Linked DNA regions of Struthio camelus. The protein of the gene in region 1 purifies or fractionates together with the protein of each later gene. This does not show direct contact. Links are inferred from orthologs where the notes say so. Each region holds a gene or a part of one and is shown on either strand. Other genes may lie near its edges.

Region 1 (10,226 bases):
GGGATCTCACCTGGTGATGGGGACCCACCTGGTGATGGGGAACCTCCTGGTGATGGGGATGGGATCTCACCTGGTGATGGGGACCCACCTGGTGGTGGGGAACCTCCTGGTGATGGGGATGGGATCCCACCTGGTGGTGGGGACCCACCTGGTGGTAGTGATGGGATCTCACCTAGTGATGGGGACCCACCTGGTGATGGGGAACCTCCTGGTGATGGGGATGGGATCCCACCTGGTGGTGGGGACCCACCTGGTGGTAGTGATGGGATCTCACCTAGTGATGGGGACCCACCTGGTGATGGGGAACCTCCTGGTGATGGGGATGGGATCCCACCTGGTGGTGGGGACCCTTCCCTAGTGAGAGTAATGGGGGGACCCCACTGGTGACAGGGACCCTCCCAGGTGCCACCTTACAGCTATAGGGCACTCCCTTAAGCCCCTATGTAGAGGGACACCTGGGACCTCCTCTAAGTCCTTGGAGGTCCCAGGTGCCCCCCTACAACTATGGGTCACCCTCTTAAGTCCTTGTGGGTCCCAGGTGTCCTCCTACACCTGTGGGTCACCCCCTTAAGGCCTTGGAGGTCCCAGGTGTCCTCCTACACCCATGGGTCACCCACTAATTCCTTGGAGGTCCCAGGTGTCCTCCTACACCCGTGGGTCACCCCCTAAGTCCTTGGAGGTCCCAGGTGTCCTCCTACACCCGTGGGTCACCCCCTAAGTCCTTGGAGGTCCCAGGTGTCCTCCTACACCCGTGGGTCACCCCCTAAGTCCTTGGAGGTCCCAGGTGTCCTCCTACACCCGTGGGTCACCCCCTAAGTCCTTGGAGGTCCCAGGTGTCCTCCTACACCCGTGGGTCACCCGCTAAGTCCTTGGAGGTCCCCTGCCCCCACCACCCCCCACCGTCGTCACCGAGGGATCCCCACCGCCGCCGTCCGCCTGTCACCGTCCGCTGTCCCCGCGTCACCCAGGGGTCCCCGCCGCCGTCACCGCGCCAGCCCCGGGGAGGGGTTGTCCCCCACCGCCGCCCCCCGGGTGTCCCCCACCACCGTCCGTCCCCCCACCCCCCCCCGTCACCGGGGCGTCCCCGACCGCCGTCCCGCCGCCGGCTGTGTCCCGTAAACACCCGCCCGGCTCCGACGGTGTCGGGTTCCCCCCCCCCCCGCCACCAAAACACCCCGCGGGCTAAAAATAACGAGGTGGCGACGGCGGTTCGGGGGGGGGATGGGGAGCCCGGACGCCTGGGCCCTCTCCCGTGTCCTTCCCCCCCCCCAGCCGTGACACCCGGCCCCATAGCGGGGGTGGGGGAGGGACCCAGGCGTCCGGGCCCCGTCCGCATGGGCGTTGTCACCCGGCGCTACAGGGTGACGGGACTGTTGTTGGGGTTGCTGGGGGGGGGTTGTCACCCCGGTTGCTATGGCTGGGACAGGTCACGGGTGCTGAGGGGGGGTCGTCACCGCGGTTGCTAGGGCAAGGACAGGTCATGGTTGCTATGGTGAGAATTGTCACCCTGGTTGCTAAGACAAAGGTAGATGAGGGTTGTTGTGGGTACGTTGTCACCCTGGTTGCCGTGGGGGGGATAGCGGTTGTCACGCGGTTGCTAGGAGGTGACGGGGGGCTGTTTGCCTGGTTGCTAAGAGGTGACAGGAACAGTGTTGTGGTTGCTATGGGGGGGTCGTCACCCTGGTTGCTATGGCAGGGATAAGGTGGCTGTTGCTATGGGAGGAGGGTCGTCACCCTGGTTGCTAGGGAGGGGATGAGGTGGTCACCTCGGTTGCTATGGGGAAGGTCAGGGGTCACCACCCCGGTCGCCATGGAGGAGGGGTCAGAGGTCACCACCCCGGTCGCCATGGAGGAGGGGTCAGAGGTCACCACCCCGGTCGCCATGGAGGGGTCAGGGGTCACCACCCCGGTCGCCATGGAGGAGGGGTCAGGGGTCGCCACCCCAGTCGCCATGGAGGGGTCAGGGGTCACCACCCTGGTCACCATGGAGGAGGGGTCAGGGGTCACCACCCCGGTCGCCATGGAGGAGGGGTCAGAGGTCACCACCCCGGTCGCCATGGGGAGGGGTCAGAGGTCACCACCCCGGTCGCCATGGAGGGGTCAGAGGTCACCACCCCGGTCACCATGGAGGAGGGGTCAGAGGTCACCACCCCGGTCGCCATGGAGGAGGGGTCAGAGGTCACCACCCCGGTCGCCATGGAGGGGTCAGGGGTCGTCACCCCGGTCACCATGGAGGAGGGGTCAGAGGTCACCACCCCGGTCGCCATGGAGGAGGGGTCAGGGGTCACCACCCCGGTCGCCATGGAGGGGTCAGAGGTCACCACCCTGGTCGCCATGGGGAGGGGTCAGAGGTCACCACCCCGGTCGCCATGGAGGAGGGGTCAGGGGTCGCCACCCTGGTCGCCATGGAGGGGTCAGGGGTCGTCACCCCGGTCGCCATGGAGGGGTCAGAGGTCACCACCCCGGTCGCCATGGAGGAGGGGTCAGGGGTCACCACCCTGGTCGCCATGGAGGAGGGGTCAGAGGTCACCACCCTGGTCGCCATGGAGGAGGGGTCAGAGGTCACCACCCCGGTCGCCATGGAGGGGTCAGAGGTCACCACCCTGGTCGCCATGGGGAGGGGTCAGAGGTCACCACCCCGGTCGCCATGGAGGAGGGGTCAGGGGTCACCACCCTGGTCGCCATGGAGGAGGGGTCAGAGGTCACCACCCCGGTCGCCATGGAGGGGTCAGAGGTCACCACCCTGGTCGCCATGGGGAGGGGTCAGAGGTCACCACCCCGGTCGCCATGGAGGAGGGGTCAGGGGTCGCCACCCTGGTCGCCATGGAGGGGTCAGGGGTCGTCACCCCGGTCGCCATGGAGGGGTCAGAGGTCACCACCCCGGTCGCCATGGAGGAGGGGTCAGGGGTCACCACCCTGGTCGCCATGGAGGAGGGGTCAGAGGTCACCACCCTGGTCGCCATGGAGGAGGGGTCAGAGGTCACCACCCCGGTCGCCATGGAGGGGTCAGAGGTCACCACCCTGGTCGCCATGGAGGAGGGGTCAGGGGTCACCACCCCGGTCGCCATGGAGGAGGGGTCAGGGGTCACCACCCTGGTCGCCATGGAGGGGTCAGGGGTCGCCACCCCGGTCGCCATGGGGAGGGGTCAGGGGTCGTCACCCCGGTCGCCATGGAGGGGTCAGGGGTCGTCACCCCGGTCGCCATGGAGGAGGGGTCAGAGGTCACCACCCCAGTCACCATGGAGGAGGGGTCAGAGGTCACCACCCCGGTCGCCATGGAGGAGGGGTCAGAGGTCACCACCCCGGTCGCCATGGAGGGGTCAGAGGTCACCACCCTGGTCGCCATGGAGGAGGGGTCAGGGGTCACCACCCCGGTCGCCATGGAGGAGGGGTCAGGGGTCACCACCCTGGTCGCCATGGAGGGGTCAGGGGTCGCCACCCCGGTCGCCATGGGGAGGGGTCAGGGGTCGTCACCCCGGTCGCCATGGAGGGGTCAGGGGTCGTCACCCCGGTCGCCATGGAGGAGGGGTCAGAGGTCACCACCCCAGTCACCATGGAGGAGGGGTCAGAGGTCACCACCCCGGTCGCCATGGAGGAGGGGTCAGAGGTCACCACCCTGGTCGCCATGGGGAGGGGTCAGAGGTCACCACCCTGGTCACCATGGAGGAGGGGTCAGGGGTCGCCACCCCGGTCGCCATGGAGGGGTCAGGGGTCACCACCCTGGTCACCATGGAGGAGGGGTCAGAGGTCACCACCCCGGTCGCCATGGAGGAGGTCAGGGGTCACCACCCCAGTCGCCATGGAGGAGGTCAGAGGTCACCACCCTGGTCGCCATGGAGGAGGGGTCAGGGGTCGTCACCCCGGTCACCATGGAGGAGGGGTCAGAGGTCACCACCCCGGTCGCCATGGCGCCCCCAGGGCCCCCCCCCTCCCGCCGGTTGCTAAGGAAGGGGTCTCCCGCCCTCAGGTTGCTATGGAGGGGGGGGCGGGCCCGTCGCCTTGACAACAGCGCGGCGGCGGCGGCAGCGGCCGGGGTGGGGGGGGTGGGGACTATATTGCCGGCAGCGGCGCGGCGGAGGGATCCGCTGCCTGGCGGCGGCGGTTCCGCGTCCCCAGCGGCGCGCGCGCGCGGGCCCCGCCCCCTCCCCCCCCCCCTCCTCCGCCCACAGCCGCCGGCGCCCGCAGCGAGTCCCGGCGGCGGCGGCGCGATCCGGGGGCCGCGGTGATGCGGCCGCGCAGGCGCAGAGCGCGCGCAGCGGCCAGGCCGGAGCAGGCGGAGGGAGCGCGAGCGCCCGGGGGGCCGGTGCGGCGGGTGCGGTCACGTGGGGGGGGGATGGGGATGGGGGTGGGGGGGGCGGTGTGGGGCCGGGGCCGTGCCGGGAAGGGGGCCTGGTGTGGGGCCGGGGGGGCCGGAGGTGCGGGGAGGGGCCTGGTGGGGGGCCGGGGGGGGCTGTGTGAGGCCTGGGGGGGCTGTGTGGGGCCGGGGGGGGCTGTGGGCGTGGGGAAGAGGCCTGGTGGGGGGCCGGGGGGGGCTGTGTGGGGCCGAGGGAGCTGTAAGGGGCCGGGGGGGGGCTGTGGGTGTGGGGAAGAGGCCTGGTGTGGGGCTGGGGGGGGATGTGTGGGGCTGGGGGGGGCTGGAGGTGCAGGGAGGGGCCTGTTGTTGGGCCGGGGGGGCTGTGTGGGGCCGGGGGGGGCTGTGGGTGTGGGGAAGGGGCCTGTTGTGGGGCTGGGGGGGCCGGAGGTGCGGAGAGGGGCCTGGTGTGAGGCTGTGTGGGGCCGGGGGTGCGGGGGGGGGCCTCTATGGGGCCGGGCGGGGGGCTGTGTGGGGCTGGGGGGGCCGGGAGTGCGGGGAGGGGCCTGGTGTGGGGCTGTGTGGGGTTAGGAGTGCAGGGAGGGGCCTGGTGTGGGGCTGGGGGGGGCTCTGTGGGGCTGGTGGGACTGTGGGTGTGGGGAAGGGGCCTGTTGTTGGGCCGGGGGGGCTGTAGGTTTGGGGAAGGGCCCTGTTGTGGGGCTGTGTGGGGTTAGGAGCGCGGGGAGGAGCCTGGTGTGGGGCTGGGGGGGCTCTGTGGGGCTGGGGGTGTGGGAAAAAGGGGTCCAGGGGGGCTGCGTGGGGCTGGGGGGGGGGGCGCCACTCAGTCACAGGGTTTTTTTGCCCGCAGTCAGCCCCAAAATGACGCAGTTCCTGCCCCCCAACCTGCTGGCCCTCTTCGCCCCCCGCGACCCCATCCCCTACCTGCCCCCCCTGGAGAAGCTGCCCCACGAGAAGCACCACAACCAGCCCTACAGCGGCATCGCCCCCTACATCCGCGAGTTCGAGGTGCGCCCGGCCCCGCGGCCCCCCGCCTGGCCCCCCTATACCACCCCCTATACCACCCCCTATATCACCCCCTATATCCCCCCCCCCGTCTCCGCAGGACCCTCGCGATGCCCCGCCGCCGACCCGCGCCGAGACGCGGGAGGAGCGCATGGAGCGCAAGGTAGGTGCCGCCCGCCCCGCCGTGGGGTTTTGGGGATCCCCCCTGCCCGCCGAGGGGCTGCGGAGCACCGTCGGCCCCCCAAAATCGCGGGATTTTGGGGATTCGGGTTGGGTTTTGGGGCTGCTTCACCTCGACGTCGCTCTCTGCGTGACCTGTGTGGGTTTTGGGGCTCCCCCCGTGCCTGTCATGGGGTTTTGGGGCTCCCCCCGTGCCCGCCGTGGGGTTTTGGGGTTCCCCCCGCCCGCCAAGGGGCCGCGGAGCACCGTCGGCCCCCCAGAATCGCGGGATTTTGGGGATTCGGGTTGGATTTTGGGGCTGCTTCACCTCGACATCGCTCTCTGCGTGACTTGTGTGGGTTTTGGGGCTCCCCCCGTGCCTGTCATGGGGTTTTGGGGCTCCCCCCGTGCCCGCCGTGGGGTTTTGGGGTTCCCCCCGCCCGCCGAGGGGCTGCGGAGCACCGTCGGCCCCCCAAAATCGCGGGATTTTGGGGATTCGGGTTGGATTTTGGGGCTGCTTCACCTCGACGTCGCTCTCTGCGTGACTTGTGTGGGTTTTGGGGCTCCCCCCGTGCCTTTCGTGGGGTTTTGGGGCTCCCCCCGTGCCCGCCGTGGGGTTTTGGGGTTCCCCCCGCCCGCCGAGGGGCCGCGGAGCACCGTCGGCCCCCCAAAATCGCGGGATTTTGGGGATTCGGGTTGGGTTTTGGGGCTGCTGCTTCTTGATGTCGCTCTCTGCGTGACCTGTGTGGGTTTTGGGGCTCCCCCCGTGCCCGCCGTGGGGTTTTGGGGCTCCCCCCGTGCCCGCCGAGGGGCCGCGGAGCACCGTCGGCCCCCCGAAATCGCGGGATTTTGGGGATTCGGGTTGGATTTTGGGGCTGCTTCACCTCGACGTCGCTCTCTGCGTGACCTGTGTGGGTTTTGGGGTCCGCCGTGCCCGCCGTGGGGCTCGGCCTTGGGGTTTTGGGCTCTCCCCACCCGCCGAGGGACCCCGAAGCACCACCGACCCCCAAAATCGCGGGGTTTGGAGGCTGGCGGGCGCCGCGCTCCCCTCTCCGACCCCCTCTCGCTCCCCGCAGAGACGCGAGAAGATCGAGCGGCGGCAGCAGGAGGTGGAAAACGAACTCAAGATGTGTAAGTGGCGCCGGGACAGACGGACGCTTCCGGCTTTTCCGTCGGGGGGGGGCAACCGGGAGCCGTTTTCCGACTGTTTTCCACCCTTTTTCCTGCCCCTAGGGGACCCCCACAACGACCCCAACGCTCAGGGAGACGCCTTCAAAACCCTTTTCGTGGCCAGAGTGGTGAGTGCGGGGCTGGGGGCTGCGAGGGGGCTGGGGAGGGGGCTCCGCCGTCGCCCCCCCCCCAGCCCGCGCTCTCCCCTCCCCGCAGAACTACGACACGACGGAGTCCAAGCTGAGACGCGAGTTCGAGGTCTACGGCCCCATCAAGCGGGTGAGGGAGCCGGGGGGGGGTCCTGGGGGGGCTCTGAGGTCCTCTGTGGCTCGCTGGGGGTCCTGGGGGGCAAGCGGGTTGTTCGGGCTGGGGCAGGCGGCTCGGTGGGGGTCCTGGGGGGCAAGCGGCTGATTCGGGACCAGGGCAGGGTGCTTGGTGGGGGTCCTGGGGGGCAAGCGGCTGATTCGGGACCAGGGCAGGGGGCTCGGTGGGAGTCTTGGGGGGCAAGTGGCTGATTCAGGACCAGGGCAGGGGGCTCGGTGGGGGTCCTGGGGGGCAAGTGGCTGATTCAGGACCAGGGCAGGGGGCTCGGTGGAGGTCCTGGGGGGGCAAGCGGCTAATTCGGGACCAGGGCAGGGGGCTCGGTGGGGGTCCTGGGGGGGTAAGCGGCTGATTCGGGACCAGGGCAGGGGGCTCGGTGGGGGTCCTGGGGGGCAAGCGGCTGATTCGGGACCAGGGCAGGGGGCTCGGTGGAGGTCCTGGGGGGGCAAGCGGCTAATTCGGGACCAGGGCAGGGGGCTTAATGGGGGTCCTGGGGGGCAAGCGACTGATTCGGGACCAGGGCAGGGGGCTCGGTGGGGGTCCTGGGGGGCAAGTGGCTGATTCAGGACCAGGGCAGGGGGCTCGGTGGGAGTCCTGGGGGGCAAGCAGCTGATTCGGGACCAGGGCAGGGGGCTCGGTGGGGGTCCTGGGGGCAAATGGCTGATTTGGGACCAGGGCAGGGGGCTCGGTGGGGGTCCTGGGGGGCAAGCGGCTGATTCGGGACCAGGGCAGGGGGCTCGGTGGAGGTCCTGGGGGGGCAAGCGGCTAATTCAGGACCAGGGCAGGGGGCTTAATGGGGGTCCTGGGGGGCAAGCGACTGATTCGGGACCAGGGCAGGGGGCTCGGTGGGGGTCCTGGGGGGCAAGTGGCTGATTCAGGACCAGGGCAGGGGGCTCGGTGGGAGTCCTGGGGGGCAAGCAGCTGATTCGGGACCAGGGCAGGGGGCTCGGTGGGGGTCCTGGGGGCAAATGGCTGATTTGGGACCAGGGCAGGGGGCTCGGTGGGGGTCCTGGGGGGCAAGCGGCTGATTCGGGACCAGGGCAGGGGGCTCAGTGGGGGTCCTGGGGGGCAAGTGGCTGATTCGGGACCAGGGCAGGGGGCTCGGTGGGGGTCCTGGGGGGCAAGCGGCTGATTCGGGACCAGGGCAGGGGGCTCAGTGGGGGTCCTGGGGGGCAAGCGGCTGATTCAGGACCGGGGCAGGGGGCTCAATGGGGGTCTTGGGGGGCAAGCGGCTGATTCGGGACCGGGTCAGGGGGCTCAGTGGGGGTCCCGGCGCGGAGGTGGGTGACAAACAGCTCGCTGGGGGTCCCGGGGTAGACAGACAACCCATCCCGCCCCCCCCCCAGATTTACATGGTGTACAACAAGCGCTCCGGCAAACCCCGCGGCTACGCCTTCATCGAGTACGAGCACGAGCGGGACATGCACTGTGAGTACCCCCCCCCGGCCCCCTTCCCCCTTTTTCCGCCTTCCCCCTTTCAACCGCACCGAAAACAAACAAAAAAAACCAAACCACACATTTAAAAAAAAAAAAAAAAGGGGTGGGGAAAAAACAACCCCAAAACCCGAGACAACCGAACCAACCAAACCAAAAACCAAACCAAAACCCGCATGTTTTCACGCCTGTCGATTGCGCCGTGCGGTCCCCGGCCCTCGGGTCCCTCGAGGACCCGGCTCGGCGCCGCAGGTAAGTACGCAGCGGGCACGGCGCGGGGTGGGGGGGGGGGCCAAAAAAAAAAAAGAAATACCCCCGGCACGGCTTCATTTTTCCCCACGGTTTTTCCTTTCCTCCTGCTTTTTGTTTCGCGGCTCCGCCGAGGAGACAGGCGGGGGCGAAGCGCAGCCCCCTGCGCCCCCTTCACTCGCTTCCCCCTCTTTTATTTCTTTTCAATCGTCCTCCGGCTTTTTTTTTTTTCCCCCCTTCTCGGGGAGGGGGGGGCCCGAAGCGCCTCCGGCCGGCGGGGCTGCTTTTTTTTTCCCCCACTATATTTAAAAAAAAAAAAAAGCAGGGTTATGGTATATAGCGAGATATATGTGTTTTGAAAGGAGCGGCGCTCTCGGGGACGCCTGTCGCGGGCGGCGTGTATTAACTCTGTGTTCTTGTTGTCACTGCAGCCACCTTTCTGATGGCTATTGCCACTGCTGGCTTGCAGCTGATCCTTATGCTTCCCCCTTACAACACCTCAGTGTATGGTTGGTATAAGGGTTTGTATGCTTGGTAAGACTACACCGTTCCCCACCCTACCCCGTCCCCGACGAACACCGCGACGCACACCCTTCAGGCAGGTAGGGGCTCCCTTAAGCTAACCCGCCGCCGAAGGAGGGGGGGGAGCACGGAGGAAAAAGAAAAAAGGGTGTTTTTTTTTTTCGCCCCCCCCCTTCCTCGACGCCGGGACACCGCCGTCCCGACGCCGGGTGGGTGTTAAACCCTCGTTTCGGTCATCCCGGCCGCTGTTGTTTCGCGGTTCGGAGAGGTGTTTGTCCTCCCCGCCCCCCCCCCCCTCCCAGCTGGGGTTATCCCGTTTGGGAATCCCGGTGGATTCGGTACGCTGCGGGGGGTGTCTCCTTGCCCCCCCCCCCCAAAACACCCGTTCGGCGGCGTTTAGCCCCCCCCCCCACCGCTGCCACCGCACACGCGTGTGGCTGGCGTGATGCAGCCGTGTCCCCGCCGGTGCGTGTGTGTGTCCCCCCCCCCCACATCCCGCACCCTCTCGGTCTCAGTCTCTGCTGAGCCGGGGGGGCCGCGTGGCCCCCACTTTGGGGGGGGGACAGGACCGAATTGGGGGAACCCCCCCCCCCATTGCCCCCTTGGAGCTGATTTTTTGGGGGGGGGGAAGGGGGGGCAGCAAGGCAGGGCCGGCCCCCACCACCAGGTTGTTCGTTAACTCGGCTCGTTAGCACCTTCCTGTCCCCCCCCACCCCGCATGGGGTGGGGGTGTGAGCGGAGGTGACGCGTTGCCCAAAATTATTGGGGGGGGGGGGGTAGGGTGCCAACGGCGCCCCACCCCCTTTGCCCCAAAAAATACAGCCGGCCGGGGACCCCCCCCGCCCCGAGCCGGGCTGTTTGTGTAGGGCCTACAGCGTCGCGCAGCTCCCCCCCCCCCCACAACGCCGATAGCATCCTTTGGGGCGGGGGGGGTGTCGGGATTTGGGGGGGGGGCCGTGGTGGGCCCCCCCCCCCAGGGTGGGGACAACCGGCCCCCGCGGTCCCCGGTGACCGCGGGCGAGGGTGGGGGGGTTGTTGGTGGCGGTGGGGTGACGAG
Region 2 (10,055 bases), on another chromosome or scaffold:
CAAATACCCAAACATTCATTACAGGAGAAATCAGAAGACATTATTTTAGAGCTTAATTAGCTTTCACTTAAAAAAAAAAAAAATTTTAAAAACACCAAGATCAAGCATTGTGCAAAATTTATACTGCCTAAACACACATCTACAGATTTTGTGGGGTTTATTGTATGTTAAGTTTTAATAGTGTGGATTTAAAACTGAAGTATTCTCCACACTTATGTTTGTAAGGAAAGGGTTTTGGTCAACAGCCTTTGGAGAAAAACTAAATACAATTCCCAGGAAGACCACATACAGTGGAATGCTGGAAAACTACTCATAGGAATATAGCGTAGACTTGCTGCGATTCTCAATTCCCTCAAATTCAGTTATCCTGCAGTTTATTTTTATCCACTTACCAAGCAATATTTCAACTAAGCAACCAGCACTGTTCAAGGTGCCATTTGGTACTTTCTTATTAAGCTATATGAAGTTCCCCATACAAAAGTAGAGAAATGTAGCAGATATTTTGAGAGGAGGAAACGCAAGTCTTTTTGGTGCCACCTCTGAAAATGTGATAGATTAAGATTTCCTCAAGCTTAAAAATATTTGCCTTTTTTTTTTTTTTTTTTAAATGCAGACATATGATGAGCTATATACATCATTTCACACAAAAGGAAATTTTATAGATGCTAAGAAAGCAGACTTAGCAGCATCCATATCAAACCATCAAATAAAGATGAAAGAACTAGCTGCCAAATGCAGAAATTAAAATATTCTAATTAGATGTTTTACAGGATGACTGCAGAGTCAAAGTACTAAAACGCATACGCTAACCCGAAGCCAGCCAAAACCACTGTTGTGTAGCGCGGAACAAACAAAGGAGACTAGGGAATCACAAACTAACCTGCTTCTCTTTTCTTGGATTTGACTTTTGGTTCAACATCCACTAGCAAGGTATCCAGAGGCAAACTGTCTGGCAGAATGAAGTAGCGAATGTTATTCCCTCGAATACTCAGGGTCTCCAGCTGTACAGGCTCTCTGTTCTTCAGCGTCATTTTCACCGCTTTGAGATGCGTATTCATACTGACATCCACTCCTGAAACAATAAAAGTCTCATTTCAGGGATGAAAGTATACAAGATGATCGCTCTTGGTACAACTAGCTGTTTTTTAAAGTATATACCTGCTTCTAGATGTATGCTGTTCATTAACACTCACTTCTGGATCTATGCCATTCACTAATTAAGCATCCAAGTGAATGTAAACACATGTCTTTTGTCTCTTAAATTATGCTGGCTCATTTACGAGTAGCTGTCCTCAACAACTCACCGCACATTTTTTGATGGAAGAACCATTTACTGCTATCTGTACAATATCATTAGAAATCTTTATCTAGATTTAAGACAGGCATAGCAGTTTTGTAAATGATTAAAATGGTTCCTTTGCGCAATAAACAAACTACCACGTATTACAGAAGTCTAATATTAGCCTTTTTACTTTAAAAAAGGCAAAAAAACCTCTGACGAGGAAGAAACTGATCATTTCCTCTTTCTGTAAGCTTTGAAAGAAGTCCAGCTGTCAAAGCATCATTCATTTTCTGATAAAATACATCTTATACTTGTGTACTGTCTTCTTTAAAAGTATGTAAAATACACGATGGTAAGGGAAAAGCACTGTGGTTACTAACTCAGTGCTGAAGAGCTGACGTACAATAATTGTTTGCTCTCCCATGGAACCGGTACTGTATCCACAGTAACATGCATCATCCAAAACTGAAAAAAAATCTCAGTTGGGTGCATCTACTGAGTAACAGCCGTAAGAAGCACCATCGCTCAATTCCTACATTAATTTTGGTTTTGCACATCAGAAGCCTTGCATGGGATTTGATCTCTAACTACAATCAAAGAGAGATCTTAATTAGATCTCTAATTAAGATCAAAATGAGAGTAATTTTTTCAGAACAGAAAATTCAGACAAAAGGTAGAAATTATAATTTACAAAAAATCCGCTAATTCAGTGACAAGGCACCCCACATGAGCAAAATTTTAATGTATTCAAAGTGTGTGAACAAACAGCTCTGTGAGGTAAAAGCAACTATTGTCTCATTTCAAAAATATGGAAAGATAAAACTGAAAGACAAGTGCTTCATCAAGGCAAATAATGTAAACGAGTAGCAGACCAGAAATAGGACCACTGTTCTGTGCTTATGCCTTTAAATGGTTTCATAATTTTATGAATTCAGCCTAATCACCAAAGGAGCTTAGCAGAGCTCCAAAGTTCACAAAAAATGCACTTGTGACCTCCAAGTATTTCTTCCATCCCCCCACCCCAATCCTAGATTTTACTTAAATAAAACAGTTCTCCAACATCTGTAATCCACCTGACCTGTCCCCTTATTTGTGTAACGTATGCGTAGCATAAAGCTCGCCCCTTCAGCATGCTTGCTCTGGCCAAGCATCTCCTGATACACCAGGAGATACTACATTTTGCAGATGTCACAGCAAATATTAACGTGGCTCATGCAGCAGTGTAAAGGGAAGAGTGTCATTTTAGAAACATGGGTTCCATTCCAAGTTTTTACAGATTCTTAGCATGACACAAGGCTTTGCTCAATAACTAAGCCTGCAAGAGCACCAAGGTCAGACGGAGACGTTCTTCATTTCCCACCTAGTCGGGTTCAATAGAGCATGCTGCAATCAGAGTATCAAGATGGTACATTCAGGTGCTAATCAAAGCTGATAGACCTGGCAGCAGAATAATGCCACGTTCAACAGATTTTAACCCTGCCAAACTTCAGCACATTGCTACTGACCAAAAAGGAACTTCAGCAATCGCCAGGAATACAGCTCTGCCAAGCGTGAACTTTGCTACAAATAACGTCAGGGCAGAAGAGCTTCTAAAAGCAGTCTAGGGTGCAAAGGAGACCAAGAACGTTCCTCAACTTATCCGCAAGGGTTTGCTTTAACAACAGCACACCCCATAGACCTGATTGCCTCTGAAGTAATTCTAACACAAATATTCTCAGAGCAACACCAGTCTCTGACATTATGAAAAAAACAAAACAGTCCATGCGTTTTTAAATATATAGGAAGCTGAGTTTGAAAGGCTTACCCCACAACTTTCAGTTCGGTGACATAAAGGAACGCATTCATTTTATAAACTAGCACGTTTTATAGATTTACCCCTCCCTGGACATTAACGTTCACAAACTTAGATTATTACATGATAAATCATTGGCAACAGCTACGAACCAGATTCTTTACACCAGGATTCCTCTCTGCCCTGTATCCCTCATCAAGCTGTGCGTTTTCAAATCAGTTTCAGGAAATTAATGCAAGCGTACCTAAAGATGCATTCCTATATAAAGTCACCTTAAACAGAGCAAAGCTACACTCAAAATAAATAATTTCCTTCTAGATTAAAATCATCTACAGCGTACTTGGACTGACTGAAGACTACGTGAATGCTTAACATTTGCCATTTACCTACTACAGACACAAAGAAATCCTCTGCTGGTGGCTCTACTATAAAGTTCTTACATGGCTATAGTATACCAGTTTGATAGGGAGCTAGAATTAGCTCACCAACATTATCATGCTGCTAAAATTCTAAGACTAGATCATTCTTGCATCAGATTTGCTCCACAAAACAGTCTGCGTAGGTTTACTTCGTTTTCCCCTAAGCCTACTTGTAAGCAGAGCCCACAGGACCATCCGACTTGGAGGCTCCCAATAAGTACTACAATCAATCCACTATCTCCCAGCAGTGCTTATGAACAGATGGCATATTACGCTGTTGATATAGTTTGTAAGTTTGACTGCAGGTGAACTGGCCCTGATACCAGGCCAAAGATGATGGTGGTGTGTGGTAAGCCGACTGGTCAAAGCTCTTCACTGTATTTTTAGTAGCTCCTGCAAACGCCCAGACTCTTCTGCAAAAAACACACTTGATACTCGTAAAAGGATACGAACTAGAGGGTCATCATAAGAAAGAGTACAAAACAAAAAAGCCCAAGCCAAACCACAATTGCCAATTATGCGCAGAAAAGGAACAGCCGGTATTTTGCTCTAGTCTTTACCACCATGTCATACCTGTGATAGTTCCATGCACCTGCGTCCCATTCTTCAGCTCAATGGTCACAGTCTCATGACTGAGTTTCATGAGAAACCTAGAAATTAAAAAAGGTATTTTTTTTGTTTTTTTGTTACTCCCACATAAAGCCAACATGGGTTATCACATAACATTCTCTACTAGAGAACACTGATGCACGTCAGGGCCCACACCTCTCACGTTTACCAAGAAAACGCTTCCAGATCTCGCGGGTTCTACCGAAAACGTTTATTAAGGCACTGCACGAGCGCAAGACACAAGAAACCAGACGAGGCGCGACCCCTACCCGACCGGGAGGAGCCGGGACACCGCACAGCTGCTACCGACTTCAGCACCCTGCCCCGGATACTGCGCTTATCCGGAACAAAGAAGGAAACGTTTCAGCGCTTCTCAGTACCGCCAGAAAATAATTTCTGGCTTTCCCCCCCAAAAATCAGGGCTTTCTGAGCACTCCAGCCTCCCCCCACCCCACCCCCGGCATTCAGGTCACGGCGGAGCCGCCGCCCGGCGGGGGGAGGGGCGCCCGCGAGGCGACCGTTAGCGCGGCGACCGTTAGCGCGGCCCGGCGCGAGCGCGGCCGCTTCCCCGCCTCCGCCGCCAGGCCCGGCCGCCTCCATCCGCCTCCATCCGCTCACCTGACGAGCTTCATGGCGGCCGGGCGGCGCCTTCAGCACGCAGCGGCGGCCGCCGCGCGGGGCAGAGGAGAGGCCCTGGGCGGGAGGGCCCGGGCGGCGGGCGCGGCGGAGGCTGCTGCGAGCAGGCCGCGCCGCCACTGGCGCCAGGAAGCGGCAGCCGCCGAGGAGAATGAATGAGCGGAAGCGGCGCCGCGCAGGCGCCGGAAGGGGCGGCCCCGCCCCATCCCCCAGCGGGGGAGGGGGGTCAGCGCATGCGCAGTGCGCAGGGGCGCGAAGGCAGGGAGCGGGCGGGCGGGCTTAAATAATGATTATTATTTTTGTAACATTAAAAGAGGCCAGGATAACAGTCTTTTCCAAACCAGCCGGTAACAGGGCTCGAAGCACAGCTCGAGATTTTTCCCTCTATGCAGTACCCACTGCCACGATATTAAAAAAAAAAAAAAATCACACACACACCACCCTCAGCAAAAACCTGAGGGTTGAGGTAAAAATACATTTTTATATAAAGTGTTTGCTCCCATAAAGTGACTGTTTATGCAACATTATATGACGCAGGCCCTAAGGAGCAGCTGGGGGGCAAGGGAAGGTTATGCTGGGTGGTAGGATTTCACCACAGGGAAGCCAGGAAAGAGCAAGGGCCGTTTCTTTCCTTTTCTTGATTTTCCTTTTTTGCCTAACAGTTTAATGACAGGGGGAGAAAAGAAACAAGAAACAAGAGTGTAAATATGAAGAAAAAAAGAATTAGATTTAAAAAAAAAAAAGAGCCAGATGGAAGTAGATTCACAAACAAATGCTGCTGAACTTCACATTTTGTTCTGGGCCAACCAACCCTACTTGTAGGGCACGGAGCTCTGCCACTACATTTGCCTTACCTTTCAGGCAATTATTTCAGTATTTTCCCAAGTTGCTTCCCAGTAAAGCTGCTCTAAACTTAAAAGTCTACCCCTCTCCCCCCACAAAAGATGACAAAGTTTAAAAAGAAAAAAAAACAAGTTCTTTCAACTAATGGCTTCAGGACCAATTTTGTTATACCAGTATACAATTTTACTAGCAATCATCTTATATGATTGTGCACACCTAGTCATCTAGTGAAGCTTGATCCTATTTAAAATGTCAACACTACACTCAAACTATTATTTCATTAGTCATTCAGAAACAGCTTGTTCAGAACCTCTGCATTTAGACAAGTGCATTTGACTGTTTCCAACAGGCCAGCGGGTTGCTCTAGCAAACTGCAACACAAGCATGAAAAAACAGACTTAAAAAAAAAAACCCTCATGCCTATCTGCAGTGAGGGAAGGAAAAAGGATAGTGACTTGAATTTTCACTTTGAGGGGCTATTATTGTCCACACAAAAAAAAAAACAACCCAATACAACAAAACAACCCACCAAACTAGTGTTGGGAAAGTACGAGAGCCTTGAACACTGAGAAGAGGTGAGGCTTGCGCTTAATCTCAAGAAAAATCCACCCGTAACAGTTCTCAGAAATGTAAGATCCAGAATTGGCACGGAAGAGCAGAACACGATGCTAATGAAAATGCTTGGTGCTCAGTGCAAGATCGTCAATATTTAAGCACAGAAACAGCAGGATATTTACCTGCTATGAACCGCAACAAATCGGAAGCATCTTTCTGGTGGAAAAAGACCTTGAACCATTTGGAAAAAGTCCACTCAAAGCACAAAACACAACTGACAGTATATAGAAAAGTTGGACATTTTATTGTCATTTATGAGTACACCATTTGTGACTTTAGAAATACAGACTCTTTGCAAAGCACTGAAATACAGATGCCCTCCAACTTTGAAAACCTACGTTAGTCTATGTCTTACAACGTGTTTATACTAGCAATTCAAGTTTGGTCTTTGTTGCAACGGGTTCTTCACCGAAGACGCAGATATCTAGTTACAGACTGCAAGACAACTGAACCAAGTTTCAAATGCCACCTGCCAGTGAGCCATTTAAAAAAGAAAAAATACCCAAACCCCCCAAAACAGTACTTTTAGATAGTCTATGATGTTCTTATACTTTATATCCATTATGGAGTTCATGTTTGAAAATTTTAAGTTAGAGGATTTTCCAGTTAACTGTCTCAACTGGTATTTCCATTACAGCATCTAAAAGCAAACAGATACTTTGCAATTACTAGTGCTTATGAACAGATTACCTTTAAACAAAACCCAGAGAGGCCTCCAGAAACATTCAAGGTTAAAATGAACAGTTAACAATTGCAAAAATCTGTACATATTTTCAGTCATAACACAATGAAACACTGCAGTATCAGTGTTTTGTGTTCTCGCTTCAACAGTGAGAACTGTGCTAGCCCTAGTATTCTACATGTTTCTCCCTTCTCCCCATTTAAGCTTTATAACCGCAATCCGAATATACAGCTGTACTTACAGGAAATATTAAACAATGCACAGCGCCCAAAGCAAGTTTCACGTCTGGTTTTGAACAAACCATATAAAATAAGTGACAAAATAGTTTAAAATTGGTCCTTGATTAGGATTACTTATTTTTATACAGCTTGGAAGCACTAAGTTTAAAGACACACATTCATGGTTAACCAGCACAAGTTATTTTGTAGCTTAGTTTCTTGTTTTTGTTTTTAAGAGTGTGTTACAACATCATGCACGAAAAGCAAGCTGTTGCTCCCAAGTGCAAACATGGGGTTTTGCCTAACGCTTTTCTCCTCAGGTTGTTACTCCTTCTTCCATAAATTATTCTAACATAACCAAAAAATATAGAAGCAGCTGACTAGCAAAATAATATGAAGTTCATTTTTTTTAATCTTGTGACCGTTCTTAAAATAATGGTGTACTTTGGACCTTTAGCATAAGGAGGGTTCAATAAACACTGCAGAGGAGTCTACATTCTTTGATTTCATTTACGTCTTTAGAAAGAAGGTTATATATTTTAACTCACTAACTAATGAATCATCATCTAAAGACTGCAGTATTGAAACAGTGCAAGACATTTGCAATTTCAGAAGCATCCAAATACACTGTCCTTTCACCCAAACAATGATTAGTAGAATATTGCATCAGTCCTAGATAAGACAGGGTGCAAAGCTTATTTTAGAGGAGAAGCATTAGGATTCAACAATCCTTTATGTTTAGTGAAAAATACATAAATATGCACAAAAAGACTCCTTAACGTGGACTTTAACAAATGTAATCCAGCTGTAAATCTAAGAACAAGTTACTGCTATTAAGCCATATTGCTCAAAGAACATGATTAGACCCCTCTATTAATAATACTCCAACACCTGGATAGGTTGACACATGAACAGAATGAGGGCTCTCTCCTGTCAAACCAGAGATCAAAAATTCAGATGAGACTACCCAGGTGGACTGCGAACTTACGCAGTCCATTTATATCTTGTAACACTCCAGACGCCACAAAGCTGGCTTTCATCTTTGAATTATCTTGGTAAGGGTGGAGCCTCCTCCACTAATGCAACATTCCAAAGATCACTGCAACCAAGACTGTAGAGTCAGATCTCAGCTGAAAGCTACCACGAAAGACGACGATTCACTTTCTCCCCGTGCTGCCAAGGATGAACGTTAAAAAGACCACTATTTGGTGTGGAAAGCAGGTCAGTAGAGACTCCAGGTGTGGCTTGAGGAATCCTCTGTACCAAGCCGCTTTCCACACACACAAATTCAGTCCATCTTCTCTTTCTGGACCAGTTTGGGTGCATCTACAAAATCCTTGCCGTTGTAAAGGATGATAGCAAAAGTTCCAAAGCTTGCACTTCCCCAGAACAGTACATAGGCCAATGTCTCAGTCCATGTATCACCTGTTGAGAGTCGATAAACACTTCATGTCATTATCTCTCATTACCTATAAGAGTATTTTAATACAAAAGCAAAATAGTTGCCCAAGCCCTCCCACAGAGATCTGCCATCAAACGTTGAAGTTGAAAGCACGTCCACAGGTACTAGGGTCTTTTGTTATACTATGTCATACCTCCTCTCCTAGAGGTTGACAAGCCACAATTATTTGTTCTTAAGCTAGCATTCTGCTGTTTGCCACACACAACTCCAACAGCACTTTAAACACAGCTACAGAGGTCACGGAGTCAAGTACTCCATTGGCACTCATGTTATAAAATTCAAGGCAAAGGCAAAAGGCGAGAACTCCACAATTTGTCACATGGATTTAGATCAAGGGGGGCTTCTTTCAGACCAAGCTTACACCAACATCTGCCTTATCTGGATTGACTTTCTGCTCAGAATTAGGTAGGTATTTGTGAAGGGATTCATCCAGCCTATAGCAAAGCCAGACATCCAACTGAAGTGCAACCGACTAAATGTTGGGGCAATTAAATGACACCTAAATTACTTCTACTAATTTTAGCTTCATTTTCTATAGTACCTCAGGTTTTTCACATTAATGACGTAGTGCTGACCCTCAGTCTCCAGAGCCATGCTTGGAGACCTTTTAGTATGACTGAGAGGCAAGCAAATATATACTAAATAGTTTCTAACACCCATTTATTAAAAGAAACAAACAAAAAACAATATACAAGCAAGCTAATTTTGTGAAGTCAAACTAAATAGTGACTTACCAGCCATTAGCAAACAAATAATGCACATAGAGAAAGCAACCACCATAATAATCGGTAACTGAAGAAAGAGAAAAAGAATAATTACATGATATAATAGAACATGTATTACTTAATATCCTTTAAGATTGGTTGTGCTGCAAAGCTATTTACTTGTCTTGCAATAAGGTTACTTCAATTATTGAAGTACAAGTGTAAAATTTTGGATGACTTAAAACTTGTAAAGGTGTGTTCAATAATAAGTTCAGAACTAAAAATGTATCTTCTATTATATTAGAAGAGGGGTGAACTTTTTTTTTTTAAATATAAATACATGAACCACCAATTCAACCTCTAATATCCCCACCCCATTTCACTACATGATATACACGGGGGAGGACGGCAAAAAAATTAAGATTTCTTCATGTTACACTCTACGCTTCTGTATGAAGTAGAAGATGAGATCTTCACAAGCTTCTTCTACTAGTCCCCATCAACAACTGTTTCCTCCTGCAGAATTTCTCCCTTTCCACTTGATGAAGCAGATTTAAAAAAAGCAAGCAGTTTTTCAATACCTCAAGGACACTCCATTTTCTGTCAAGGGAACAGTCTGGGTTTAGTCCTATAAGCGGGTATCATAGAAACATAACCGGATTATAGGGACGCTCCATTACTAAACAGACAATTTCTACTTAAGTCTTACTGAAGCAAGTAACTAAAAGGTTACATCTGTTTCTCCAAGCATGAGCCAAATCTCCATACTCACAGCTAAGAACTTCCAATCTTT
Region 3 (10,575 bases), on another chromosome or scaffold:
CAGGGGACGTTATTTGTACTGCTGGTTCTGTTTTGGACTATTCCTACCAGCTCTACTGTACATGGAAGGTAGCGCTAATCACTCCTGATGTGACTCAGTCAGGGTCACTCAGTCGCTAGGCCAGTCTTTAGGCCTCTCTTACTCAGCAGTACAGACGTTGCCCATGAATATAATGTCCCCTTGGACTCAAAGTTACTTCTAGAATCAGTAATGACATCAGTCTAATTATAGTGATACAAAACACATGATGCAAACCCTAGTCTAAACTACTGCTCCAAATGAGTCTACTACTGAAATACTGAATCAGTAATAAACATATGGCAGCAAAGCCTATGGTAGACAAATGACCAAGACACATTACATAGCCTAGAAGTACTTGCCAACTAAAAATAGGCCCAGACGCTGTGCTTGGATCCCTTTGGGCTGACTCTGGCATTCACGTGGAACAAAAATATCTTTGGATGCGTCCAAATTACATCCATACAAGTTCTCTTTCTTTTAGATAATTGTTTGTAAATTCGAAGGGGGCCACTCAAGCACATAAATTATGGCAAAGCTGGAAGATAACACTGCAGAAAAGAACACGCCCCGAAACGCTTTGTAGTGCCCAAGGACACGTATTAGCTGTGGAAAAAGAAATTCCAACACTCAGACTGTGAAGAAAAGATGAAACAGATGCAGGGCTCTGATCCAAAGCACAGTGAGGTCAGTGTGACTTGGGTAACACCTTCCTTCATGAAGAAGGAAAGCTGTATGAAGGAACAGAAAAGAGGGCACTGCTTTGCAAGCAAAGATGTCTGGCTGTTTGACTCACCTTTACTGTTTCAGTGCCTTCCAAAGCACCTTAATTATAAAATGAAATATGATCCATCTACATTTGGTGTTTTCATATACATTTATTTTTATATTTGATAAATACTGTTGGAATAATGATTCTTGAAAACTCTCTCACAACAGTCTTGACTGACAGCCCACTAAGTGCTGTGCCTCTTATAGCATAATTGACAACTTTCAGGTAGATGCGCTTTTAGTCTATGCAGTGTACAAAACGGAATGCACTTGGCCCACATCTGAAGAAAGTAAGATACAAGACAGTTGTCTTATTACTAGTTTTTTTTTTTAATAACATTAATGTGTTTGCATTTAAGAATAGAACTTTACATAGAAGCTTGCATAACTTCTGGATACAGTAGCCTCAAACCAATGAAAAAAATCTTTGCAAAACAATTCCTATGTCAAAAAGCACACACATACCTTAAAATATCTAGAATGGGAAGAGAATTAAAATACTGGTGAATTCTCTGCATTTTTAGTATGCTTAAAAAAAAAAAAATTAGCTTCTGAAACAGAAAAGGTTTCTGTCAAAGCCACCTTGCTCCAGAACTTAGGTGTTTCTAAACTTCCTTGGGTCTAAAGAGAACCCAGACACTGCCTCTGGCTGGCCAGGAATACCCTCACAACGTAGATGCTCTGCATAGCACCTTTCTGTACCTGCACTCCAACTGCTCAGTCCCTGGAAAAGCACCAGCAACTGGTGTCCATTTCAGTACACGTTCCAGAACTCCAGCCAAAACACTCAGTAAGGAAGAAAGGCATAAGAATGCAAAATAGTTTGTGACCACAACAACTTTAATTCAGAATTCAAAACAAAGTATACTCTTGAAGGAAAAGCCCCCCAAAATGTAGACATTTCTTTCCAAACTGATTTAGATTATGTTATCTCGAGAAGTTTTAATTCTCCTATTACATTTTTCTGTCTTCTGGAGTCCCTTTCTCTCTGCTGCAGGTTAGCTTACTCCATTGCACGACAGCAGATCCTGCTACATCCTCTATGAAAGCTTCCCCTTTTCTCCCCACCTTCAGGTCATCACAGATCAGAAGATGGTATCAGGGAAGCATCTCCATATATCTGTTCTGCCTCTTTGCTCTTCCATAAGTATCTGATATTGCCCATTGCTACACTCAAGCCAAGAGGCTCAACAGAGCTTTGGTCTAACCCAGCACTGCCATTCTTGTAATATCAGGGCTGCATTTATGCTGCCATAAGCTGAAACTCAGTACGCTTTTTGACCCTGCTCCATACATCTCTGTCACTGCTACAGGGATACCTGTTCCTCAAGTAAGTGGTATTCACACTAGCTATATCAGTCACCAGAACTCAGGCTACAAATCTACAAATACTACCTCTGACTACGAAACGACTCCCCGAAGCTCACTCCAAGACGGCCTACACGTAGGCTGGCAATGTGAGCAGTCGGCAAATTTGAACTGAAGCACAGCCCTGAGTTTGCGCTCAGCATATAACTACGGACATCCTCCTCAGGCTATCCCCTTACCCATGCACATGCCAAGCTCATCCTGGTTTCCTTTTATGTATTTAGTGATTTTTTATTTCAAATTTCTCATGGCCAGCACACAGAAGCACCAGTTTTCTTAGTGTCAAACCGTCCTTGAAAGATAGCACTCCAAAGCTCTTATTACCCCAAATGATGTGCTCGTTATCTAGTCTAAAAATAAAAGCCAGCAACGTGCTGCAGGCAGCAGCTCCCAGTTATGTGACTGTGTAGAGTACGATTAGCAAGTTACATGACTATGTGGGTAATAAGGTTCACAACATGAACGAGTTCCAGGAGTTGAACATTGCCCAGCTAGGTTCAAAAGGATATTCCTGCCACGCAGGAGGCTAATGATGTGCAGAGGGCTAAGCCAAGTATCAAGATAGTTTGCATGGATTAGGTAAGCATCTACAGTCTGTCAACTAAATACAGAGATGGAAAGAGAAGCGTTTGGAATTAATCTTGGGATAAGTAGATTAGACATGGTTTTTCTGTATTTTCTCCCTCCCTCTGCCTTAATAAACTTCTGAGAGAGGGCTGGGGAAGCAGGGGCTTGAGCATGTAAATAACTTCCATGCACTTTTATCTTAGCCTGGCTTGTGCTAAAAAGTGATTTCTAATTTGCAAACACAGACTCATTCCTGCAGGAGTGGCAATTCTTCCACTAGAAAGAATCCTTCTGGAACACACTAACAGTGTGTTCCAGACATACACTGTCAATAACATGACAGCACATTTTCATCAAAGCATGCCAAAGAATAACTACACTCAGCTGTATTTAGCTATATGCCCAATCTAGAAACTGGTAAACCAGGCATTGCTGTAGAAGAAATCTTCCAGGGCCAAGTATTACCCACGTAAACTTCTTGACAGCAGCAGGATGGTTGGGAAATGTACCTGAATCCAAGGATTTGTAGGAAACTTCTATCAAAATCTTTCATCTTGAATGGGTAGCCATAAATTTATAAGAACTAATCACTCTAAAGATTCAGAAAAGACAAAATATGGCCATTATCATTGAACACTAGACTCCAGATATACTGAGGTCTCCTTTCATTCAGCAATTTTTAAGGACAATTTTATATTCATAAAATATTTGTATTATTCATATTATTTCATACTGAAACCATTGGCTGTATATAGACTCCAAACATCATTGAAAATGTGGTCTAGACTACAGTAACATTTAGTTTTATTTCACAGTGGCCACTGGTGTAGATGGAGTCTTAGGGAATGCGGGGAGTTGGATTTATATCAAGTGGTTTCGAAACACCTGTGGCCAATGCATGTATAAGGTGGCCCTGCTACTCAAATTTAATTAACAGCTTATCATGTCTGGAGAAAGAAAACAGTTAATTCCCATGGCACATTGTTTCTATATTGCTGCCAGTAGTAACAGGTAACAATTGCTTAGCATAGTGAGGACTGAGGAACTCCTCAGCTGCTGAACAAAGCCAAGCAATGAGGCAACAGATGGTAGACTCACCACAGTCCTTGAAAAGGCTGTGCTATCCACAGCTTTCTGTACCCCTTCAGCTCTGCCGGCTACTCCAGGAGGTGGGTCACCGGGACTGTTAACCCTAACCTAACCTCCTTTTCTCCCCTTTTGGAAGAAACAGCTGCTAACCAAACACAATCGCTACACAGTGTGTTAATGGAAATATGGCGACAATTCCCAGTCCTTGGTCAGGTGAGCATAAAACAGAGCTATTTTGCCTCTTTCACTCAGTGCAGAATTCATACCATTCACTGATTTGTATCCATGTCAATAAAAATACTGATGGTTTCATTTTCACAGTTGGTGACCATAAACAGGGCTTTCCAGACAGCTTTTCCTTGACCTCCCCGCATGGGTGGATTCCCTTGTCCATTTCTGGTTTTCTTATACCTTCTTTTACATCCTAGGAAGGAAATCATACTCACAGTTGAATGGAAGGAAGCAAGAGCCACCAGTGAACAGGCTGAAAAAAACAAAGTGGAAAAGCAAGAGATTCATCTGCAGAATTTCCTGTCAAATAACAAGTGCTCCTAAAGATATGGCCTGATAAGTCTGAAGTAGAACAAACTTTAAAAAGAAAAGAAAGTTTTAGTTCATTTCCAGACACTTTTTTGTGATATAAAATACTATTGCCAAAATCTGATCACCTGTAAAGGTATATACTACATAACTCTGTGAAACAATAAACCGTCTCAAATCCTGAAGGTTCAGGATGTAGATTAACGTCACCTTGGGAGGCAACAGTATTGATCCCAAAACCCAATTTGGCAAGAGACAACTGTGATTAACAGAATATGTATTTGTATATGGAAAAAAAAAAAAAAAAAGCAAGGCTAGGCTGAAATATACTTTGTGCTTCAACTCTCAAGAGTAGCAGGTTTGCACCAGGTATGCTACAATTGACAACACTACCGACTTTAAAAAGACACCTTCTTTTTAGCTTTATTCCTTAGACTGGAAGTTCACTGGGGCAGAGTCAATTTTATGTAAGTATGCCTGACGGCTACTGCTGATTTGGTCCCCAGTCCTACCATAATACAAATAACACACCATAATTTTAAAGACCAGGCAGAGTTCTAACAATGCTAATGTGCTTTACTTGTCAAATACATTTCAAGTTTCAATACATAGATATGCATAAGCCAAATATTCAACAAAAACAAGAGCCTAGGTAAAAATCTAGTTCCGGGGCCTTAAAACTAGAAAAACACAGTTTATCATTTTTGTTTGGAGAATGGAAGTTAACTACACCACCTGTTTTACCACTGCTTTAAGTAACTACACTCGGTATCACCTTCAACAGGGTAATTTTTTTAAAAAGAAAAAAAACCGCTATCTCCCCCTTCGCTGAGACTGAAAGCAAATGAAGCCCTCTATGGTTGGAATGTCAGCACACTAGGGGCGGCACCTGCACGCCCGCGCAAGCCCCTGGCCTTCACCTTAAAATCTAAACGCGGGTTACAAAATTGAGCGGGCTCTGCCGTCGTTTACGGAGCGAAAATAGCCACTGGCACTGACTGAGGCGCTATAGGGCCAGGACCGCCGCCGAGCTCAGCACGGCCCTCCACCCTCGCCCCAGATGGGGTCGGGCCGCATGGCGGCAACCCTCAGCCGCGCTCAGGAGCGGCCCCGAGGTGCTGGGACACAGCACGACAAACTCCTGCCGTTAACGGCCGCTCTGCCGCGGCACAGCACGGAAGACACCCACCCGCCACAGCGCGCAGGCGCGCGGCAGGCCCCGCCCCCCAGCCAATCAGCGGCGCTCAGGCCCGTCGCCGACGGCTGCGGCGCTGTGCCTTCTCCCCGGCGGCCTGCGCGGGGTGCCGCGGGCATGGCGACGGTAGCGGCCGTTGGGCGCGTGCTGCGTCTGGGCGGCCGTTGGAGCGCGGCGGCGCGGGACGGGCCGCGCGCGCAGGTGAGAGGCGGGCCGGGCCGAGCACCTGGGCCCTACTTCGAGAAACCGGCTCCTTCGTGCTGTCTGCCCCCGCTCCGGGCCCTGGCGGGGGTGGGGAGCTGGCTTGTTGGGCCCGGGCTGCGGCAGCTCGCTCTCCCCTTCACACGGGGATGAGGGCAGGGCTGCCGAGACGAAGCGGGGGGAGGCGAGCCCGGTGCGGCGGGCGCGGGCCGGGCGGGAGCGGCCTGGCGAGGCGCCGCCGCGGGTTCGCGTCCCCGGCGCGGCTGGGCGGGGGCGGGGCGGCAGCGCCGAGCGCCTGGCGGGCACGGTGGGGTGGGGTGGGGGGGTGTTCCCCTAGACGGGGTGACACCGCTCTTCTCTCGGAGTGCCCCCTCCCAGTGGGGCAGCTGTCGGTCCGCAGTGGTGCCGAGTTTTTGTACTGCTCTCTGTCTCTGCGTGGCTTGGTTCAGCGGTGGCATTGTAGGGCATGGGCGGTTGGTGTAAACGGGGTTTAAACAGTTAGGAGCGTGCACAGAATTTGCGTTGGTTTAATGGGTGCGAGGATTTACAGTGTGGTTGCTGGCCTGCTATAGCTGTCTGCCCATATGCTTGCTTCTCGCACCAAAGTGAGGCGTTTGTGTCTCAGTAAGAGCGGGCCAAACTAAAACTTGTGTGCTTTCACCTCCCAGTAACTCATGAAATGTATTTACTGGGAAGAAAAGACATACTGTAAATACACATGTAAGTGTTTAGCACAGCTTTAAGCCAGCCACTTTAAAGTCAGTCCTACAGTTAACCTACTTATTTTTTCTTAATATTTCTATGTAGTTAGGGCCTGTTTTTATGTATGTTACTAGAATTAGGAAAGCTAATGTATAGAGCAAGGCCCTAAACATGTGTAAAAGTACTTTTGATTTTCCTGAATAAACAATAATTTTTAAGGTTGACTGTCTTGAATCGTGTTTGGTCAGCAGATAGCTAGATAATGCAATTTCCTGATTCCTGCAATGGAGAGAGAAATGTTTTGCACAGATGCAGCAGTTTCTCACTGAAGAGAATTATCTGCTTATTTTGAGAGACACCAGTCCTCAACAGAGTACCAATTCATTAAATAGCTTAACTGCTGTCAGTGTTGAAGTGATAATTGTGTCTGTGGTATTTGATATACCTATATATATTTAATTCAGTGATCAAAAAATGGATATAAAGGCAAGCTGGTAACATTTTGAAGTTACAAGGAAATTTAGGATAGTAAGGGCTGAAGAACTTTTCAGTGACTGACTATGGGGTAACAGAAGATAGGTCTGTTAGGTATGCGAAAGGTAATACTGGAAGGAGCAAATTGAACTATTTACTTTTTTTTTTCCTCCTTTTCTCCTCTAATATTAGATTTAACCCATTCAGGATAAAGACCTGGTGTCCATGTGAGTAGTTTCTTATGCAGCCGTCAGAAATTCACATGCTGAAGTTGTATGAGGAATGAAAAAGAGAATAAGGTTGAAAATGTAATGCTTGATGTAGTTTTCAATTTAAGCATCTTGTTTGGCTTTGGTTATCCTCTATCAAAGATAGGATTATGGCAGTAACTTAGTTTTCCTGGTCAGACCCCTGCTTGAATTTGAGCTGAAATCTTTTTCTATCATAATTGAGGAAACAGTATCAAAGCAGGTCTCGAAGAGGCCTTGAGAGATCATTCGTCTGCTTCTTCCATCCCCAAAAGGCAGGATCTATACTTAAGCCTGTAGCTATGTATGAATCTTCCTATTTTGTACGGTCTGTGAATTAAAGATATGAAAGGAACTAATGGGAGGCAGGGCCCAGGAAACTGACAGATATTTTTTTCATGTGAAATGCAGTTGACCTGTGGAACTGTTGTAAGGATGTTGTGGATGCCAATCACTTATGTGAGTACAAAAAAAATCAAACTCAATAAAATTCAATTGAGGACTCCTAAATTAAAAGATACCAGCATGTCTTTGAACTGAAGATTGTTGGAGACCAGGGAAGTGTCCTGGATAAACATCGCTACTTGTTTGTCCTGTCTTTGTGGCTGTTGTTGAGGACAAGGTACTAAGCTGACACACCTCTTTGACCTGCTGTGACCATTGCTTATGTTAAGTGCCTACCTGTCCTTCTTTATGATGCGTATCCTAAATATCCCTTGCTGGAATTTAACTCATTACTTCTCATCCATCTTAATGTGGAAAATAGTTTAATTTCTTGTTGACTTTTCCTGTGTTTGAAAACTTCTTGTATTGAGAGAGGAAATGGAAGAGAAACTCTGTAATTCAGTTTCCTCAGCTACGACTAAACAATAGGTCTTGTGTCCTATCCTTCTAATAAGCAAAGCACAATTAGACATCTAGCCCAATTTATAAAGAAAATAAATGATCTAACTCGGTTACTGTCTGTCATTTGTGTTGTGATTGCGTAGCATTCTTCTCATATGGTTCTCTGAAATCTTCTGCTGAGCTATTGCATTTGGCTGGGTCTGCTCCCTTATCTAAATCACTGTGGATGGTATATGTGCTGAGATCAGAAGGGTAGTACCACTTGTCACTGCTGACAGTATACCACCGGTATACCACAACTATATGCTTGGAAGTAGCTTTTTTGCCGTTGGTAACTAAACTAGAGTTGAAAAGCCTGTTAGTATTTCATAACTTGTGCCTCAAAACAACCAGATCTAAATCCTATTCCCCATTATGCAAGCCTGATGCTTGAAATGTGTCTCTGTGTTTAGAGCTATCTCATATTTCCATAGCATACAGTATAAACGAAACCTGAAATATTGGGTTTGGTTCAGTGTGCACGGAAAGTAGACTTTCTGTGTGGGAGAATACTAGCTTTGCAATTACCTCTCAGGAAATCGTTCAATTTGAGTAAAAGTTCCTTCTAATGAAATACTTTGGCATATCTGATAGGAAAAGTAACAGAAAATCACTTACCTTATTTTTTGACACCTCGTGATACTTTCTGTTGTGTTTTACAGTATGCTTATTAAAACATAACCCTGATATTGATCCACCTAATTAATTCATAGGCCAGCTGAAAACTGAGATCATGTAAATATTGTATTTAAGTTAATTAAAACACTTTTAAAAACAGTACTTTAGAAAGACAAAAGTTTAGGAAGTTTGAACAGTCTGTTTTTTTAGAAACTCAGGATTGTTCTGAGCATTTATGTTCTGTATGATATTTGCATAACGTATATGTTTTTTCTTGTATAGTGAATGACCAAAGGACTGCTGTTTGTCTGCCTAGTTCTGCAGCACTAGCTGCGTTCGTAATCTAAGCTGAGGGACGCAAGGCATCTCTAGTTCCGCGCTGGTGTGGTTCTACATACAGCTCTGCGTCTGCTGATTAAGTACTATCACAAAGATAACTTCTTAGCACACATCTAGTTGTGTGCTGCATGGTTTTGGAGAAGGAGTTGGTTGAAGTCTACTAAGCTTAGAGCATGGAAGCAGTGTGAAAAGATCTACAGATATATATATATATTTATATTTATATATACACATGCCACATAAGTTGACGTGTACTCCCATCTCTTTTGGTAGCTATGTGTCTTGACCTTGAGTCTTCCCCGTCTTTGTTTCCCTTTTCTTCCCAATCCAAAAGTACAGGAAGATCGATTCTTTGTTATTAGTGATATGCATTGGTTTTGCACCCATTTCACCCTACTAAAGCAACATTATTGTGACAGGAGTAAGCAAACAGGTCCTAAGTATTTCTCTTCTTGGGAAAAAAACTTGATATTGTCTGAAAGCAGCTAGTCTTTCTGACGCAATTTTTTACAGAAGCTGATTTTCTATAAATGTCGGAAAATCGGGCTTTGCCAAATTGTTTTATTACTAAGTAATGGGAGGAAGTGTTTAATACTTGGGAATTCTAGCCAGAAGTAAGGCTTTCCCTTCTCCCCCATGCTAGTGGAACAGTATTATTTCAGGAATACTGTTAATCTCCATTATTGTTTAAAAAATGGAGGGGCTGCTGTCTGCAATAATGCTTCATGAAATGTGTAGTAAGTAAGTGCAAACCTCTGTGGTTTCCTCTGGAAAGTAGAGGAGCGCACTTTCTTGTTCAACCGAAATGCCAGAAGCATTTGGCTCTGCTTTGCAGTTCTTGCCCATACCACCCATGAAATAGTACCTTTATCCCAGAAGAGGTACCCAATACAATAGATGTTAATTTGCATAAGAGGCTGTTTTCTAGTTATGAACAGTTTGTGTGTCCAGGGACTTTTGATTAGTGGTGAATTGAAACTAGGGAAGAATATGAATAGCTTGAGGGAAGGAGGACAAAAATGAGAAAATTACAATAGAAATTGACAACAATAAGCTGAAAGCAGTCTTTTTAAAGTATCCTGCTTAAAGCATAGTAGAGAGAAAGCAATTTTGGGCCAAGTAATAAGGAATCATATGTTCATTAACAAGAATTACAAGTAATTAGTTGCAATTAAGACAAGTAAGACAGAAGATGATTCTCTTTTCCTGGAGAGTATCTAGGAGAGAAGAACAGGGAATATGTAGAGATACCTTACTCTAAGGGAATCAGTAGAGATTTACTGGTAGAAACTGTGCAGTTTTAAGATTTTGCCTTTTTTTTTTTTCCTTTTATGTAACTATAAGCTCACAGAGAAAACAAAAGTAAGAAAAAGGAGCAAACTAGGGTTAGCATTGCACAGAGTATGTATAAGCTGTGGAGCAAACAAAGCAACACCAGGATCTTGAGCACTAAATTCCAGAGCTGTCTTTAAAACTTTTTTGGCAGAGGTATTACTTAATTTTCTATCTTGTGGGGGGTGGCATATTTTCATCTGTTTTAGGTTATAAAAGTGTGGATGG

The links. Proteins that work in one complex are often made in the same cells at the same time.
Region 2: the proteins of SNRNP70 (region 1) and SNRPD1 purify together in Homo sapiens (affinity purification with mass spectrometry; 6 studies listed by BioGRID and IntAct, counting the BioPlex papers as one, with this or other methods). This does not show direct contact. The link is inferred for Struthio camelus from reciprocal best matches to the Homo sapiens genes SNRNP70 and SNRPD1.
Region 3: the proteins of SNRNP70 (region 1) and MRPS9 purify together in Homo sapiens (affinity purification with mass spectrometry; 3 studies listed by BioGRID and IntAct, counting the BioPlex papers as one, with this or other methods). This does not show direct contact. The link is inferred for Struthio camelus from reciprocal best matches to the Homo sapiens genes SNRNP70 and MRPS9.

What each region holds. Positions count from the first base shown.
Region 1 is NW_027182627.1:6,793-17,018, reverse strand, and holds the start of SNRNP70 (U1 small nuclear ribonucleoprotein 70 kDa), read left to right. Parts: upstream 1-4,188; 5' UTR 4,189-4,312; intron 4,313-5,159; 5' UTR 5,160-5,170; coding exon 5,171-5,317; intron 5,318-5,414; coding exon 5,415-5,477; intron 5,478-6,549; coding exon 6,550-6,604; intron 6,605-6,706; coding exon 6,707-6,771; intron 6,772-6,859; coding exon 6,860-6,922; intron 6,923-8,310; coding exon 8,311-8,392; intron 8,393-10,226. UniProt on the Homo sapiens protein: Component of the spliceosomal U1 snRNP, which is essential for recognition of the pre-mRNA 5' splice-site and the subsequent assembly of the spliceosome. SNRNP70 binds to the loop I region of U1-snRNA.
Region 2 is NC_090943.1:50,583,879-50,593,933, forward strand, and holds the start of SNRPD1 (small nuclear ribonucleoprotein Sm D1), read right to left. Parts: upstream 4,960-10,055; 5' UTR 4,735-4,959; coding exon 4,721-4,734; intron 4,144-4,720; coding exon 4,067-4,143; intron 1,073-4,066; coding exon 881-1,072; intron 1-880. Other genes in the region: SACM1L (phosphatidylinositol-3-phosphatase SAC1), read right to left, coding at 8,385-8,521, 9,293-9,350, 10,035-10,055. UniProt on the Homo sapiens protein: Plays a role in pre-mRNA splicing as a core component of the spliceosomal U1, U2, U4 and U5 small nuclear ribonucleoproteins (snRNPs), the building blocks of the spliceosome.
Region 3 is NC_090942.1:154,008,650-154,019,224, forward strand, and holds the start of MRPS9 (small ribosomal subunit protein uS9m), read left to right. Parts: upstream 1-5,616; 5' UTR 5,617-5,665; coding exon 5,666-5,749; intron 5,750-7,584; coding exon 7,585-7,632; intron 7,633-10,575.